2 linked regions of the Macaca mulatta genome follow. The protein of the gene in region 1 purifies or fractionates together with the protein of each later gene. This does not show direct contact. Links are inferred from orthologs where the notes say so. Each region holds a gene or a part of one and is shown on either strand. Other genes may lie near its edges. The genes, in order: TJP1 and OCLN.

Evidence for each region.
Region 2: the proteins of TJP1 (region 1) and OCLN purify together in Homo sapiens (affinity purification with western blotting; 4 studies listed by BioGRID and IntAct, with this or other methods). This does not show direct contact. The link is inferred for Macaca mulatta from reciprocal best matches to the Homo sapiens genes TJP1 and OCLN.

The regions. Positions count from the first base shown.
Region 1 is NC_133412.1:8,710,296-8,717,188, reverse strand, and holds part of TJP1 (tight junction protein 1), read right to left. Parts: coding exon 6,581-6,893; intron 4,192-6,580; coding exon 3,974-4,191; intron 2,705-3,973; coding exon 2,561-2,704; intron 67-2,560; coding exon 1-66. UniProt on the Homo sapiens protein: TJP1, TJP2, and TJP3 are closely related scaffolding proteins that link tight junction (TJ) transmembrane proteins such as claudins, junctional adhesion molecules, and occludin to the actin cytoskeleton.
Region 2 is NC_133411.1:77,572,915-77,580,559, reverse strand, and holds the start of OCLN (occludin), read right to left. Parts: upstream 4,682-7,645; 5' UTR 4,456-4,681; intron 4,317-4,455; exon of another isoform or gene 4,206-4,316; intron 1-4,205. UniProt on the Homo sapiens protein: May play a role in the formation and regulation of the tight junction (TJ) paracellular permeability barrier.

The sequences.
Region 1 (6,893 bases):
AGTTTGCTCCAACGAGATAATTTGGATCTCCAGGAAGACACTTGTTTTGCCAGGTTTTAGGATCACCTATGAGAGAAAAGAAGGTGATGTCATTTACAGTTGAGTAAATTGCTATCTGCAATGCTTTGCAATTATAGGGCAAATATGTATATTTAAACATAATTTTCTTCTGTTTCTTCAGCATATTGTATTTGTTATCAAAATTCACTGCTTTATTTCAATGCACACCTGCTGCCACCTAACAATTTCAAAGGTGTTTCACACTTCTATTTAAAAAAATACTTAAAACTTTCTTTCCAACTCACACCATTAAGAACAGTTTTCTTTTTTCAAACTTTCAGACTTCTCCTTTATTACATTATCAAGTGCATTGACTTTTCAAAAAACGAATACAAGTGAGTGACGGCAATCTCATGTCTGGGACAGTTCCAGTTTACCCGAGCCCACATAATTATCAGTAGCACTTTTTTTTCCCCCCTTTCAAAAGTCTGCAGGATAATTATATGGTCACCTATTTGAGCTGAGAATGAGGACACATTTCTCATACTCAACTATAGACCAACAAATGAGAAACCCAGTTCTGCAGAATCTAGTTCTTGAAGACCATCTTTCCCCTTACAAAAAACAAACAAAGAAACGAGACTGCACCAGAGCTGCTCAGCTCTGATTCCAGCTGAACAACAAAATTAATCACGCAGCTTCAGAAACTCACTGACAGGGTGTTAGTTAGATCTCAGGATTTAAGTTTTTAATAAGCTCTTGGTGATTTCTATTAAATGTGAAGAAGGCAGGGACAAGTATGTGTCTCTGTGGTATCCAAACAAGCTGAGAGTCACAGCTGTGGATTTCTGCTTCCCTTACAGCAATAGCTCTCAAACAGGAACGGCCCTGCCCCAGATGGGACATCTGGAGACAGTTTGCTTGTTACCACTGGCATCTAGGGGTAGAGGCCCAGGGAAGCTGCTAAATATCCCACAATGAACAGGAGAGCCCTTACAATAATCATTTGGCCAAAATGTCAACAGTGCCAGCTGAGAACCCTGCCTACAGTATGTTAGACATTACCTAAGCAATATCTGGAGCCAAAAGCATTTCATTTTTCCAGAAAATGCGGTACTTGTAAATATGAGGAAATATGTATTTACAAGTAATTTTTTTCTTTGGTAACATTAAAATATGCTCTTGCTATGATCTTTATACCACAAACTTTTATTTCATACTGTACCAAACTAAAACTAAATAATGCTCGTCTGATTTATCAAAGATTTGGAAGCAGGACTTTAAATCAGGTTCGCTTAAAGTGATCTACACCTAAAATAAAATTCTGATTGTTAACTGACTTAAGTCACTCAAGGAAGTGAGAAATGTGAAAATGCAATGGAAGCTTTGAAATTATGATCTTAGGAGCAAAAAGTTGTTTACAAATAGTGTATAAAAGAAGCAATTTAGAGTATTACACTGAAAAACCATGGCCAAGTATGATCACAATGGAAGATTCTTTTAAATTTCTCTGGTATACATACTTTGTAGATTAAGAAATTAAACAGGCCAGGTGCAGGGGCTCACGCCTGTAATCCCAGCACGCTGGGAGGCCGAGGCGGGTGGATCACTTGAAGTCAGGATTTCGAACCAGCCTGGCCAACATGGTGAAACCCCATCTCTACTAAAAATACAAAAATTAGCCGGGCGTGGTGGCGCACTCCTGTAATTGCAGCTACTCGGGAGGCTGAGGCAGGAGAATCGCTTGAACCTGGGAGGCAGAGCTTGCAGTGAGCCGAGATCGTGCCACTGCACTCCAGCCTGGGCGACAGAGGAAGACTCCGTCTCAAACAAAACAAAACAAAACAAACAAAAAAGAAACGAAACAACAGTAACCAAAAATATAAATAGTTATAGAAAGGAATGAACTAATTTTAATAAGATAAAAATGCCTGTTTGTGCAGGACAATAACAATTCTCCCACTGCATCCTGAAAAATTGGACAGAATCAATCATTTTGAATACCAAGAAATACTCAATTATTTGGCCAAATTATTAAATTTTTTTTTTTTTTTTTTTTTTGAGACAGAGTCTCGCTCTGTTGGCCGGGCTGGAGTGCAGTGGCATGATCTCGGCTCACTGCAACCTCCGCCTCCCTGGCTCAGGCAATTCTCTTGCCTCAGCCTCCTGAGTAGCTGGGACTACAGGCATGTGCCAACACATCTAATTTTTGTATTTTTAGTATAGATGGGGTTTCACCATGTTGGCCAGGCTGGTCTCGAACTCCTGACCTTAGGTGATCCACCCGCCTTGGCCTCCCAAAGTGCTGGGACTACAGGCGTGAGCCACCACGCCTGGCCCAAATGATCAATTTTTAAAAGGAAGCAACTCTTCTATCTTTCCATGGAATTTATTTACAATATATGCACCATAAATAAATGTGGAAATACCGGTGATGCCTACAAGGCCACAGGAACAGAGGGAGAGATTTGCTAACACACAGCATGGGTAGCATCACCAGCCCAGGTATTAATCAACGACAGTCCCCAAAGCCCCAAAGGACAGAGTGAAGACAGCATACCCGACGAGGAGTCGGATGATTTTAGAGCAAAAGACCAACCGTCAGGAGTCATGGACGCACAGTGTGGTAAGCGCAGCTCCACAGGCTTCAGGAACTTGAGGCCATGGGGACCACACATCACCAAGGGACTCAGCAGTGTTTCACCTGGAGTTGGAAAAGGGGATAGGCAGAGAGGTTGGATGTGGTCTTTCTTCTAGACCCCCAGTTTTCCTCACCCTGCTTCTAATTATATGCTTGAAAGCCTAATGCAGTTAGTTCTCTACAATCGCACTGACCACAAAAAAAATGTAACAGCAGACACATATGGAATTTTAAATTTCCCAGTAGCCACGTTAGAAAGTAAAAAGAAACAGGTGATAACAAATAGTATAGTATTATAACTCAATATAACCAAAACACTGTTATTTCAACATGTAACCAATATATGGTATCTTTGGAACTTGATGTTTATTTCACATTTCCAGCATCTTTCAATCCAAAATTGTCACACTTCAAGTGCGAGGTAGCCACGTGCAGGTAGTGGCTACTGCATTCAATCATATGGGTCTATAGTATAAAACATATTCAAATGTACTTGTTACAAATGTGACATATTTTCCATTTTTAAAATTTGCTCCATAGATGCTTAAAGGATTCATGCAGGGCCAACACAGTCAGTCCTACTGGTTTTTAAAACAGGATATCCCCAAAATCAGAGTACAGAATCAGATATCAGTATTCTGGCAAAACGTAAGAAAGTGTTAACTGATTTAGGAAAGTAAAAGCACTGCTAAAAGATGCTAAATCACGACACAGTTCGTTACAATATCCTGATAGATCCAGGAGGATTATGAAAATAACAGTTTCCTTAAGAAGCTCAGAAACATACTGTCGTCTCCTCTGAGACTCCGTGCACTCTGCCGAGCATGTACTAGTGCTGGGTTCTGGGGTGATGGTAAGACAGTACCTGTCAAGACGTTTAGGTTCTCCAATCAGGTGAAGACACAGCAAAGCCTTTCTGAGTGGGTGTTACCTAACCCATCTCCAGAGACCCAAAGGCTGACGGACTCAAAGACAAACTTGGTCAGGTCAGCCCAGGCTGCTCAGCAGGCACAAGTGAGAGACACCCCGTGGCCTGTCCTATGCCATCATTTTTTTACTTCATACCAAAAGTAAAAGCAGGCGGTGTGGCCACCACAGCCTTGCCTCAGGCCACCTCCTGCCTGCTTGCAACACCATCCCCAGGGCACCCCTCGCTACAGCACTCATCTGAAAGGACCTCCCTGATGAAAGGAACATGCTATTATTAGTGGCCCAGGGTGGAGGCAGAGAGAGGTGCTGCATTACCCCCTTAGCCAAGCACTATAAGCTTTGAAGTGCACACAGGGCAACTCTTAAGTTATCAAAACTAAGGAGAAAAATAAACACATTTACCTTTCTCTTTATCTAAAGGTGGGAGGATGCTGTTGTCTCGGCAGACCTTGAAATAGATTTCCTGCTCAACTCCTTCGGGAATGGCTCCTTGAGGGATAATTATACTGACTCCAGTTTCTATGGAACTCAGCACGCCACCATTGCTGTTAAATATGCCTCGCGCTGTGGCCACCACAGTATGACCATCTTCATCTTCATCCTCTTCCACAGCTGAAGGACTGAAAGTTCAGAAATGGCTAGTGAGTGAATTCCTAATAGTACACAGGTGCTTTGCTTTTACTACTACTGTATTACGTGCTTTCATTTTACTTTTGTTTCTCCATATAATCAAGAAGTTACTTTAACAAGGTAAGTTTCTGGCAACAGATTTTACTGACAGGGTTATCTCAGAGAGTATTATTATCATTATTACTATTCTGAGACAGAGTCTCACTCTGCTGCCCAGGCTGGAGTGCAGTGGCACGATCTTGGCTCACTGCAACCTCTGCCTCCCAGGTTCAAATGATTTTTCTGCCTCAGCCTCCCGAGTAGCTGGGGCTACAGGCATGTGCCACCACGCCTGGCTAATTTTTGTATTTTTAGTAGAGATGGGGTTTCACCATATTGGCCGGGCTGGTCTCAAACTCCTAATCTCATCATGATCCACCTGCCTCAGCCTCCCAAAGTGCTGGGATTAGAGGCATGAGCCACCGTGCCCGGCTGTTCTTCCATTCTTAGTGACACAAAACAATGGTGCATCTCACAGCTGACAGCATCTCAGACTTGATAACATCTCCCTAGGATTTTAAGTACACATGAATATGGTCCTGCCTCAGCATCCCTGAGGACCAAGTGCCCACCCTGCTGCAGAAGGCAAGGCTTCCAAGGTTCCATGAGCTGAAGACCCTTGTATGGGCACATCCCAAACATCCACAAAAAGAGAGACAGTAGATTAACTTAGTAATCACAGAACACCAAAGGCAAAGGGGATGTGGTATCAATGACGGCTTCAAAAATAGAGGCTATCAAGACTTCCTGAAGGACAGTTTTGAGCCAGGGCTTAAAGGTGAGCAGAAAGACCAACAAAACAGAATCACATGAAGGTAGCTGCAGCTTCACTCCAGCATGACCGGAGTGCCAGGGACGACATCCTACGGCACAATATCAAGGGAGCAGAGTGCAGCCTGAGCTGCATAGCAGGGGTCAACTGTGTCTGTCCCTGACCACCGGTGGATGTGCAGAGCTAGGAAGGCAGTGACCGCCATAACCATCCTTGCTCTCGGAAAGCAGCCTCAGGTGGCCATCCTGACCTTTGGTTCTCCCTGCCTATAACTGCTTCTGCTTTACGGTGGTATGAAAATGGAACTGGCTGTAGGAGGGTGAGATGAGCTAATGTGTGGCCAGAATCCATCCGGGCAATCGCCACGGAATGAAAGACAGGAAAGAGGAGCTGCAGGGAGGCTCCAGGAGGGCTTGCTCTGTCTCATTTGCTCAGCCATCTTACTAACTGCTGCTCTTTAAACAGTCAGGGCTATTCTATTTTTCTTCTTAGCATCATTGTGGAACAAATAATGAAAGAGGAACATAGATATTTAACGTTTTTAGATGTCCTCCACATGCCCCTTAACAGCAGGTCAGGAGAATACAAGAGGCCATGGCTGGTTAAGAGTATGGGTTCTCGGCTGGGTGCAGTGGCTCACACCTGTAATCCCAGCACTTTGGGAGGCTCACTTGAGCCTGGGAGTTCAAGACCAGCCTGGGCAGCATGACAAAACCCCGCCTCTACTAAAAATACAAAAACTAGCAGGGCATAGTGGTGCATACCTGTAGTCCCAGCTACTTGGAAGGCTGAGGCACGAGAATTGCTAGAACCTGGGAGGCGGAGGTTGCAGGTTGCAGAGAGTTGAGATCACGCCACTCCTGCCTGAGTGACAGAGCGAGACTCTGTCTTGATTAAAAAAAAAAAAAAAAGAGGCCAGGTGTGGTGGCTCACATCTGTAATCCTAACACTTTCGGAGGACGAGGTGGGTGGATCAGTTGAGGTCAGGAGTTCAAAACCAGCCTGACCAACATGGTGAAACCCTCTCTCTACTAAAAATACAAAAAATTTAGCTGGGCGTGGTGGTGCACGCCTGTAGTTCCAGCTACTCAGGAGGTTGAGGCAGGAGAATCGCCTGAACCCAGGAGGTGGAGGTTGCAGTGAACCAAGATCGCACCACTGCACTCCAGCCTGGGCGACAGAGGGAGACTCTGTCTTTTTTAAAAAAAAAAAAAAAAAAAAAAAAGCATGGGCTCAGAGGTTGGATGACCAGCAGCTAAATCGAGGCTCACCTCACTCGAGCTGTGTGACCCTGGGCAATCTGCTTACTGTCACTCAACCTCAGTTTTAGTAAAACAGGGATGATGACAATACCTACCAACCATACATGACTGTTAGCTTTATTATTTTACCAACATCTTGTAACTCCTGGAGGACCTTCTATGTAACAGCATTCATTGCAACAACACTCTTCAGTTTAAAGGTTGAGTTAAAAAGATCACTTCAAAGTCCCAAGTCAAATAAACTACAACAAACTCACATGAGAAAAATCACAGGGGCAATGCTTTGAGCAAAGGCAAAAGTCTTACCTCACAGGAATAGCTTTAGGCACTGTGCTGATATTATTTATTTGATATTTAGGCTTCTCTGCATGGATAGAGAAAGTTTCAACTCCACTGTCAAACTCAGAAGGCTGTGCCAAACTGTGCGATTTCACAAGAGTTTTTGGAGAAGTGGGAGTTTTTGACAAGTCAGGTTTATGTGCAGTTTCACTTGGCAGAAGATTGTGATTGAATTTAGGACTTTCAAACTTGCGTTCAAACGGTCGGGCAGAACTTGTATATGGTTTTGGTGTGAATCGATTGTATGCTGGAGTGACCGTTTTCTGAGTCTGTTCAGTTC
Region 2 (7,645 bases), on another chromosome or scaffold:
AGAGTGAGACTCTGGCCCCCCCCCAAAAAAAAAAATCTAGAAAAACCATGTCTTAAGACAAACAATTAGAAAAACAGGAAATGTTTGGCCTGGAGAACTGAACATTAGAAGAATCACTTTAGTAGCCCTGAGGTATCTGAAGAGCTGTCTTTGTTATCCTAGAAATGGTTAAAAAAAAAAAAAAAAAATCCAAAAACCACCATGTTAGGAAGCCTCTCCCTCACCCTGACCCCACACCCCCTCCAAAAATAACGAACAACAAATTGAGCTCATGCAATTTATGCAAAGCTTAAGTTATTTGATATTTTTTTGGAGACCAGACTGGAGGACTTCTAAGGTCTCTGAAATTTCAAAGTGAATCTGTGACTGTGCTTTAAGGCCGGCAGCCAAAGGTGAAAGAGGACCAATGCCCAGCACAGCAACATTAACAATCTGTACATGTGTTGAGTGAAGGAAAAAATAAAATGAGGAATGAAGAGACCACTTATTAACTACATGAACTTATGTCAAGAGTGACAAGGACAGAAGTCAGATAGCTAAATGAGAGTCAGGGGCAAAAGGGAAGCAGCAGATCCTTGTCAAATATGTTAATCTGAAAACCAGCATCTTGAGCTAATGATAATATATAAAAAGCATTCTCCCCTTGACAATGTTTACTGACCAAAAGCTATCTTAATGGAAAACTAAGCTAAGATGAAAAAAACAGGCTGAGGTTGGGTGAGGTGGCTCACACTTGTAATCCCAGTACTTTGGGAAGCCAAGGCAGAGGGATTGTTTGAGCCCAGAACTTCAAGATCAGGCTGGACAACAGAGACTCCGTCTCCATCTTTTAAAAAAAAAAAAAAAAAATATATATATATATATATATATATATATATATAGTAGAAAAAAATAGACTGAAAATGCTTTGCCCTCAAATTATTCTTTAAAGAAAACTCTCAATAAGTGAAAAATAAACATATTTAAGAGAAGTCTGTTCCTTTTAGGGCACATGCAGTAACTGTCAATTTGTCTTTAAAAAGTTTAAGTTGTGCCTTATATTAAATGATTTAGATTATAGGCACATCATTAAATTGTCTAAAAATTTGAAGTTAGGCAGATTTTGTAATAGACTGTGTCAGAAATTGTATTTTTAATAAACCTTCCAAGTGATTTTTTAACACACCACATATTTTGAGAATTGCTGTTTACAATAATGGTGTCAATCCAAAAAGGACATTGATCTTACAATTTCCTGTCTAAAAAGCCCAGATCTTTTACACAGCAGACACCTGCTGTTCACATCTCAGCTCAGATGCCACCTTCTGGGAGATGCCCTCCCAGTCCCTCACTCCATCACACAAAACTTGTTTTTTCAGAGCAAACTCTCCTCTGCCCTCATACCTAAAATTATTTTAGGTATTATCTCCACCCCATCTGGAATGCCTGCATCCCAGGCATCGAATGTCTATTTTGACCACCATTTATATCCCTGGTCCCTGAAACTAGCCCTGGCACAAAGTGATTGTCAATGAGTACTCAATTAATAAAACCAAGTCAATTATTAGAGTTGGGATTTCAATCCAGCAGTGAATGCCTTGAAGTTCTTCACACAACACCCAATCAACACCCAATAAACGCATTTTTTTTTCCTTTATTTCCAACTTCAGTGTGTCAAATGTAATTGAGTAGAGTCTAAGAGAAAGGGAGAAAAAGAGGACAGAACAGTCTGAGAATCACCTGTGAGCCTGTTAGAAAGGCAGAATCCCAGGTCCCACTCCTGACCTCCCAATCAGAATCTGTGTTTTAACAAGATCCCTAGGTGATTCATACTACAGCCAAGACTGGAATCACTGGGTTACGGAACAGCGGCAAGCCTAGGGGTTAAAACGAAAAGCCTAACAGAAATCTACATGGTCTGTTTACTCTCTTATTTCTATAAATAGTAATTTGATGAAAAAGATCCACTGATATTCCAATCAAATAAGCCTTAAAATGCAACTGAAGAAAACTTCCTTCTGGGACGTTCCTGGGAAGGTGAAAGATATTACATCAGATCATTTATGTGGTTAAAAGTAATCTATTATTTTGGAAAGGCAGTAATTCCAACATTACCTTTAGAAGAAAAAAGAATTTTACCATGACATCAAGCAAAATGCGGGAAATCTTGTATCAGGCTACAGGTACTAGTCAATGGTACAAAGGTCCAGAAAAATCCCCCAAATCTGGTTCTGGAATATCAAGGACCGCTGCTTCTGATATTCCTTCCCAGATTAGCTGAAGCAGTTTGCAGGCAAGCCCATGCAACACGTTTCCCCCACAGCATATGCCCGCTTTTAAAACGGAGTTCTACTAAGGTCTGCCTTTTAGAGTTGTTGGGATAATTAAATGAGAAAATACAGAATGCTTTTAGCACAGTGCCTCACGTGCAGGAGACACTGCCCATTATTTCCCGAAATGGCCTGGAAGCTGCCAAAAGGTGGAGAATCATGTCTTAACGACCTCCCTATCCTCCGCTCCATCACCTAACAAAGGAGGCCCCTAATAACTAAATAAATTGCAAAACGACAAAAAAAAAAAAAAAAAAAAAAAAAAGGGTTGCTTTGTTTGAGGAAATATCTGTGCCGCCCCCACACACTCAAAAAGCACCACTAAGAAAATATTCATAAAGGCTGGGCGTGGTGGCTCCTGCCTGTAATCCCAGCACTTTGGGAGGCCGAGGCGGGTGGATCACCTGAGGTCAGCAGTTCGAGATCAGCCTGACCAACATGGCAAAACTCCGTCTCTACTAAAAATACAAAAATTAGCCGTGCATACTAGTGGGTGCCTGCAATCCCAGCTACTCGGGAGGCTGAGCAGGAGAATCACTTGAACCCGGGAGGCAGAGGTTGCAGTGAGCCCAGATCACGCCACTGCACTCCAGCCTGGGAGACACAGTCGGACTCCGTCTCAAAAAAGCAAATAATAATAATAATAAAAACAAAAGAAAGACTCATACGTACAGTGCAAAAGAATTATTGTTACACTTGGGAATGCCTAGTTTTCTAAATCACCATAAGTGCCTTCATGGGAAGCGTTTCTCTTTTCCAGGTATTCCAATAATACACCTGTTGCCTAAGGGCCACACACTAACTGGCCTAGAAAGCTGCCGCCTCCTCGCCCGGGATAATTCCCCAAGCGGGCAGTGTAGCCCGCGAGCCCCGGGTCCGGCCTGAGGATGCCGCGGTTTTCCCCTCGGGCCCGGTGGCTTCCCGAGGAGCACGAAGACCTCGGCGCAGCTCCCAACCCCTAGGCGCAGAGGCCATCTTGGCCCTTGACCCCCGCTCCCCGCAAGCTTCCTTCCACGCAGGCAACATGGCTGGCGCGATGGCCGGCCCAGTCCCGGAGGTCCCCAAACTCCGTGGCCCGGCTGGGCGCGGATCCCGGCGTCCGTGCGCCCCGAGGCGCTCCCGGGCAGCGCGCGCCTGCGTTCGCTGGGCAGGCACCGCCCGGAGGCAGTTCCGCCCCCCTGGCGGCAGCCCTTTTGGTCACGGGTGAGAATCCCAAGCGTGAGCAGCTTCCCTCGAAATTAACTCCGTGAACCCCAGCTTAAATCGGCGCGGGTTCACACAACTCCCAACAAGTGGATTCGAGGTAGCCAGTGTGGCCCACACCGTGACTCCCGGAATATTTCACAGACTGAATCCAGCCCCCGTCTCCCCGGGATACCCAAAGGAGTGGGGTGGGGTGGGAGCCGAAGGGATGAAATTCCCCCCGGGATCTAAGCGGCTCGGACCAGCAAGCAGTCTCTCGCTGCAGCCTCAAGCTTAGGACCCCCAACGAGCTGGGCGCAGGACCCCTCTCCATGAGGGCCGCCCCCCAAAACTGCAGCCCCAGAGCTGATGCAGGATCGTCGCTGTTCAGGAATGTCCTGCCTCATAAAAGTGAAAAGTTGCCCGCGCCGCTGAGGCACTGCTAGCTTTAAGCGTCTCCGCGGAATAAAGCTTGATCGGCGGCTCCAAGCCGCCCCTTGCCCGGGGAGGCAGCCTCCCAAGTTGGCCGGTGCTGCTCTCTCCGCAGACCCGCGCCTCTCCGGTTCCCACGAGTCCCAGCCCGGGGACGAAACTGCCACCGAAACCAGCGCGGAGCGTCCTCCCCCCCGCACCTCCCCTAACAGAGGCGCCGCGGTCCCCCCACGGGGACCCTGGGGGCTCCAGTGCGCCCCTGACGCCACGCCCAACACTCACCCACTGGCCGCACCTGGGCCCGACCCTCCGGGGACCAACCGAGCCAGTGAGGGCGCTCACCTGGCGGGCGCACCTGACGCCGCGCCGACCGCCAGCGCGCAGCCAGGGACTGGGCTGGGGACGTCTCCTCCCCCTCCTCTCTCTCTTTCCCCTCCTCCCCCTTCTCCCTACAACCGGCCCTGCCCCCGGGCATGCGCACCAACGTGTAGGGGGGTGCGGGAAGCCTGCGGGCCAGCCCCGAGAGACCCACCTGCTGCGTCCCGGACGGGCTTCTCGGCGCTCTGACCCTAGCTCTCGGTTCTTGCCGCCTCCGCCGGAGGAAGCAGGGAGGGAGAGGTGGGCGCGGGAGTGTAGGTGTGGTGTGTTGGCCTCCTCCCTCGGTGACCCATTCACCTGAAACTCGGATGGGAGGGGGCGGGAGGACGCAGCCCTGCTTCCCACACCCTGCCAGCGCGCTGTTAAAGGAACCGCGCGATGTTCCGGCCGGAGGGGCGGAGCGCAGAGGAGCAGCGCGGGCTCCCAGGGGGCAGCACGCATGGGGGTCCTGGACCACCTAGGGGTGCGTTTGGTGCTCCGCCTGCTTCACATGGAACCTTGGGTGTCTGACGGAGAGACGTCGAACGAGGTCCGGAGGGGACTGTTTCCTCCGGAAAGGGTCTAGGCACTAAGCACTTTGATAGGAAAGGCACGTCCTCTCGGGACACTTTTCTGCTTCCAAAATTTGATTGAACTGTTGCTGGAAAAAGGCATCTAGATGTGTTGCTCCCACGAAAGACTCCTGGGAAAATTTCAAAACTCGTGTGTAAATATTGGCGCTATTTCTGAATCTCTAGATTCAGAAATAAGACAATTACTTAGTGGGGATAAAATGAGGGTGAACTACTGTAGCTGTTAGTTGCCGTCCAGCAAGCTAAAGTGCATAATACACAGTTTACACATCACCACCTCAGGGTCCTCCCCTGCCCACCCGTTCCGAAATGTAACTGGTCCGCTCTTGGGGACGGGGAGATTTAAACTATTATGGCTCTTTGGCCTAAGAAAAAGCACCTTATACTTTGTTTACCAACCTGTAGTGCTTTAAGAACCCTACTTAAAAAGCAAAATAAACCTGGTTTATTTGTTTATTTTTTTAAGAAAACGAAAAAGCACCTTAGTCCTGGGTGCTGTATTCTATTTCTTGATCTGGATTATGGTTCCAAAGGAAATTTCATAGTCTGCACTTAACACTGTGTATGTTTTTATGTATGTTTGTTGTTTTTGAACATATTTTTAAATTGTACTCCAGGATGAGGTAATTATAGTTCTTGGCATTTAACTACCTGCATTGAAAGCGAACTGTTAGGTTTCTTAAATCCTGCTTGTCTTTGCGTTCCAATCTGGAATGTCAGCATTGCTAATAAATTTCTATCCAATCCCACCCACTTCTCTACCTTTAATTAAATGGTTGGAGATGTGACTCTCCCATACATTAGATCTTAAGGCACAATTCATACTTAAGGAAGTAAAAGCACCATGTAAATATGAGGTATTTCAGATGATGACAGCTTTAATGAGTAATTAATTTAATTGGTATTTTTTTCGTGGAAGTCATTGCCACAAATGCTTTAATATGACTATGTAGTTTTTGAATGATGCAGTTTAAATTGGTATTGTTAACACTGGGGAAGTCAGGTTAATCCTCTTAATGTTCCCTGTCAGATTACTGAAATCTCCAAACATTCCACTTGGTTTATAATTAAACAAGGGAACATTTCCTAATACTCTCAGATTTGTAAACACATGTCCATTATTTTATAATGTATTTTGATATGTTCTGAAGAGGAGATCTTAGGAGTTTTTTTCCACTTTATAAAAGAGTTCACATACCATAAAATTCACCCTTTTAAAGGGCACGTACAATTCAGTGGGTTTTAGTATACTCACCAGATTGTACAACCATCACCACCATCTAATTCCATTTTAATCACCCCCAAAAGAAACCCCATGCCCATTAATAGTCACTCTCCATTTCCCCTCTCCCCTCATCCCTCGGCAACCACTAATGTACTTTCTGTCTCTATTAATTTGCCTGTTCTGGACATTTTATATGAATGGATAATACAATATGTGCCCTTTGTGTCTGTCTTCTTTCACTTAGCATAATGTTTTAAAGGTTCATCCATGTTGTAGTGTGTATCAGTACTTTGTTCCTTTTTATAACTGAATAATATTCCGTTGTATCGATGTATCACATTTTGTTTAATCATTCATCTGTTGATGAACATTTGGGTTGTTTTTCCTTTGGGGATGCTATGAATAATGTTACTATGAATATTTGTGTACAAGTTTTTTTGTGGATGTATGTTTTCAGTTCTCTTGGTAAATTAGGTTTTTAAATTAAACTTTTTATCATTTTAAGATAATAATTTATGCATATCATGTTATTTTGCTTATTCCCACCCTAAACCTAAACTCAAAGACATGTTGTGTTGGGTAGAAGGTTAGCTTTCATATTTTATTTGCTTTCCCAATTCATTCCTTCAACTATTTTCTGAGTGCTCTGTACACATGAGTGAACAAAACTCAAAAATCTCTGTGAAACTTACTTTCTAGTTAGTTCTGAGTTCATCCATATGGAATAATAGGATTCATTAAGTTGAAATATATGAATTCTATTTTATTCGCTTGAGATTAATTTTCTAAACAACACAGCATCAAAAGAACAGTTAACTATTGCCCAATATTGTATATATTTGGTAGTTGAAAGTGTCTAGAAAGAAAAATCCAGCCTTAAAACTTAAACACATCATTCTTCAATACCAAAACAAAATTTGTTGGATGTTAAATGATGCCATGCTCAATTTAATCTAAAATTTACATAATCATAAATTATAGCAAAATTTAACTACTATATTGTTACCAAATATTCCTTCTTGGCAACTCACATTAGTATTGAGTAGTATCCACTATTGGATATTACTTAATGAAAATCCCCATGACTCAGAGCAATGTAAATATTATTCTCAGAAGAACCCCATGATTAGAAGCTTGTTGACTTTACCTGCAGTCAAATGGATGATAAGATGAAAAAACAATTTTTTTTCTCCTTTTTTATGTGTAAAAGAGAAACTTAAGAGCTCAGATTATGGTGTCAGAAATTTCATTTGAAATTCCAGTGTTGCTACCTGGTAGCTGGGTAGGACTAAAGGAAATTAAACTACATAAGCCTCATTTTTTTCCACCGTAAATTTGAGATGATAATAAACAATACTATCTTTATAAGTCTGTTGGTGGGAATGTGGAACATTCACCAAGACAGTCTATATGCTGAGCCATGAAACAAGTCTCAATAAATTTAACAAGCCATTGCTGTATCCTATCTGCCTGAAATAGGAATTCTATAACTTTGTGTTGGATGAATGAATGAATGACTATAGCCCTGTTTCCCAAATCCAACGTAC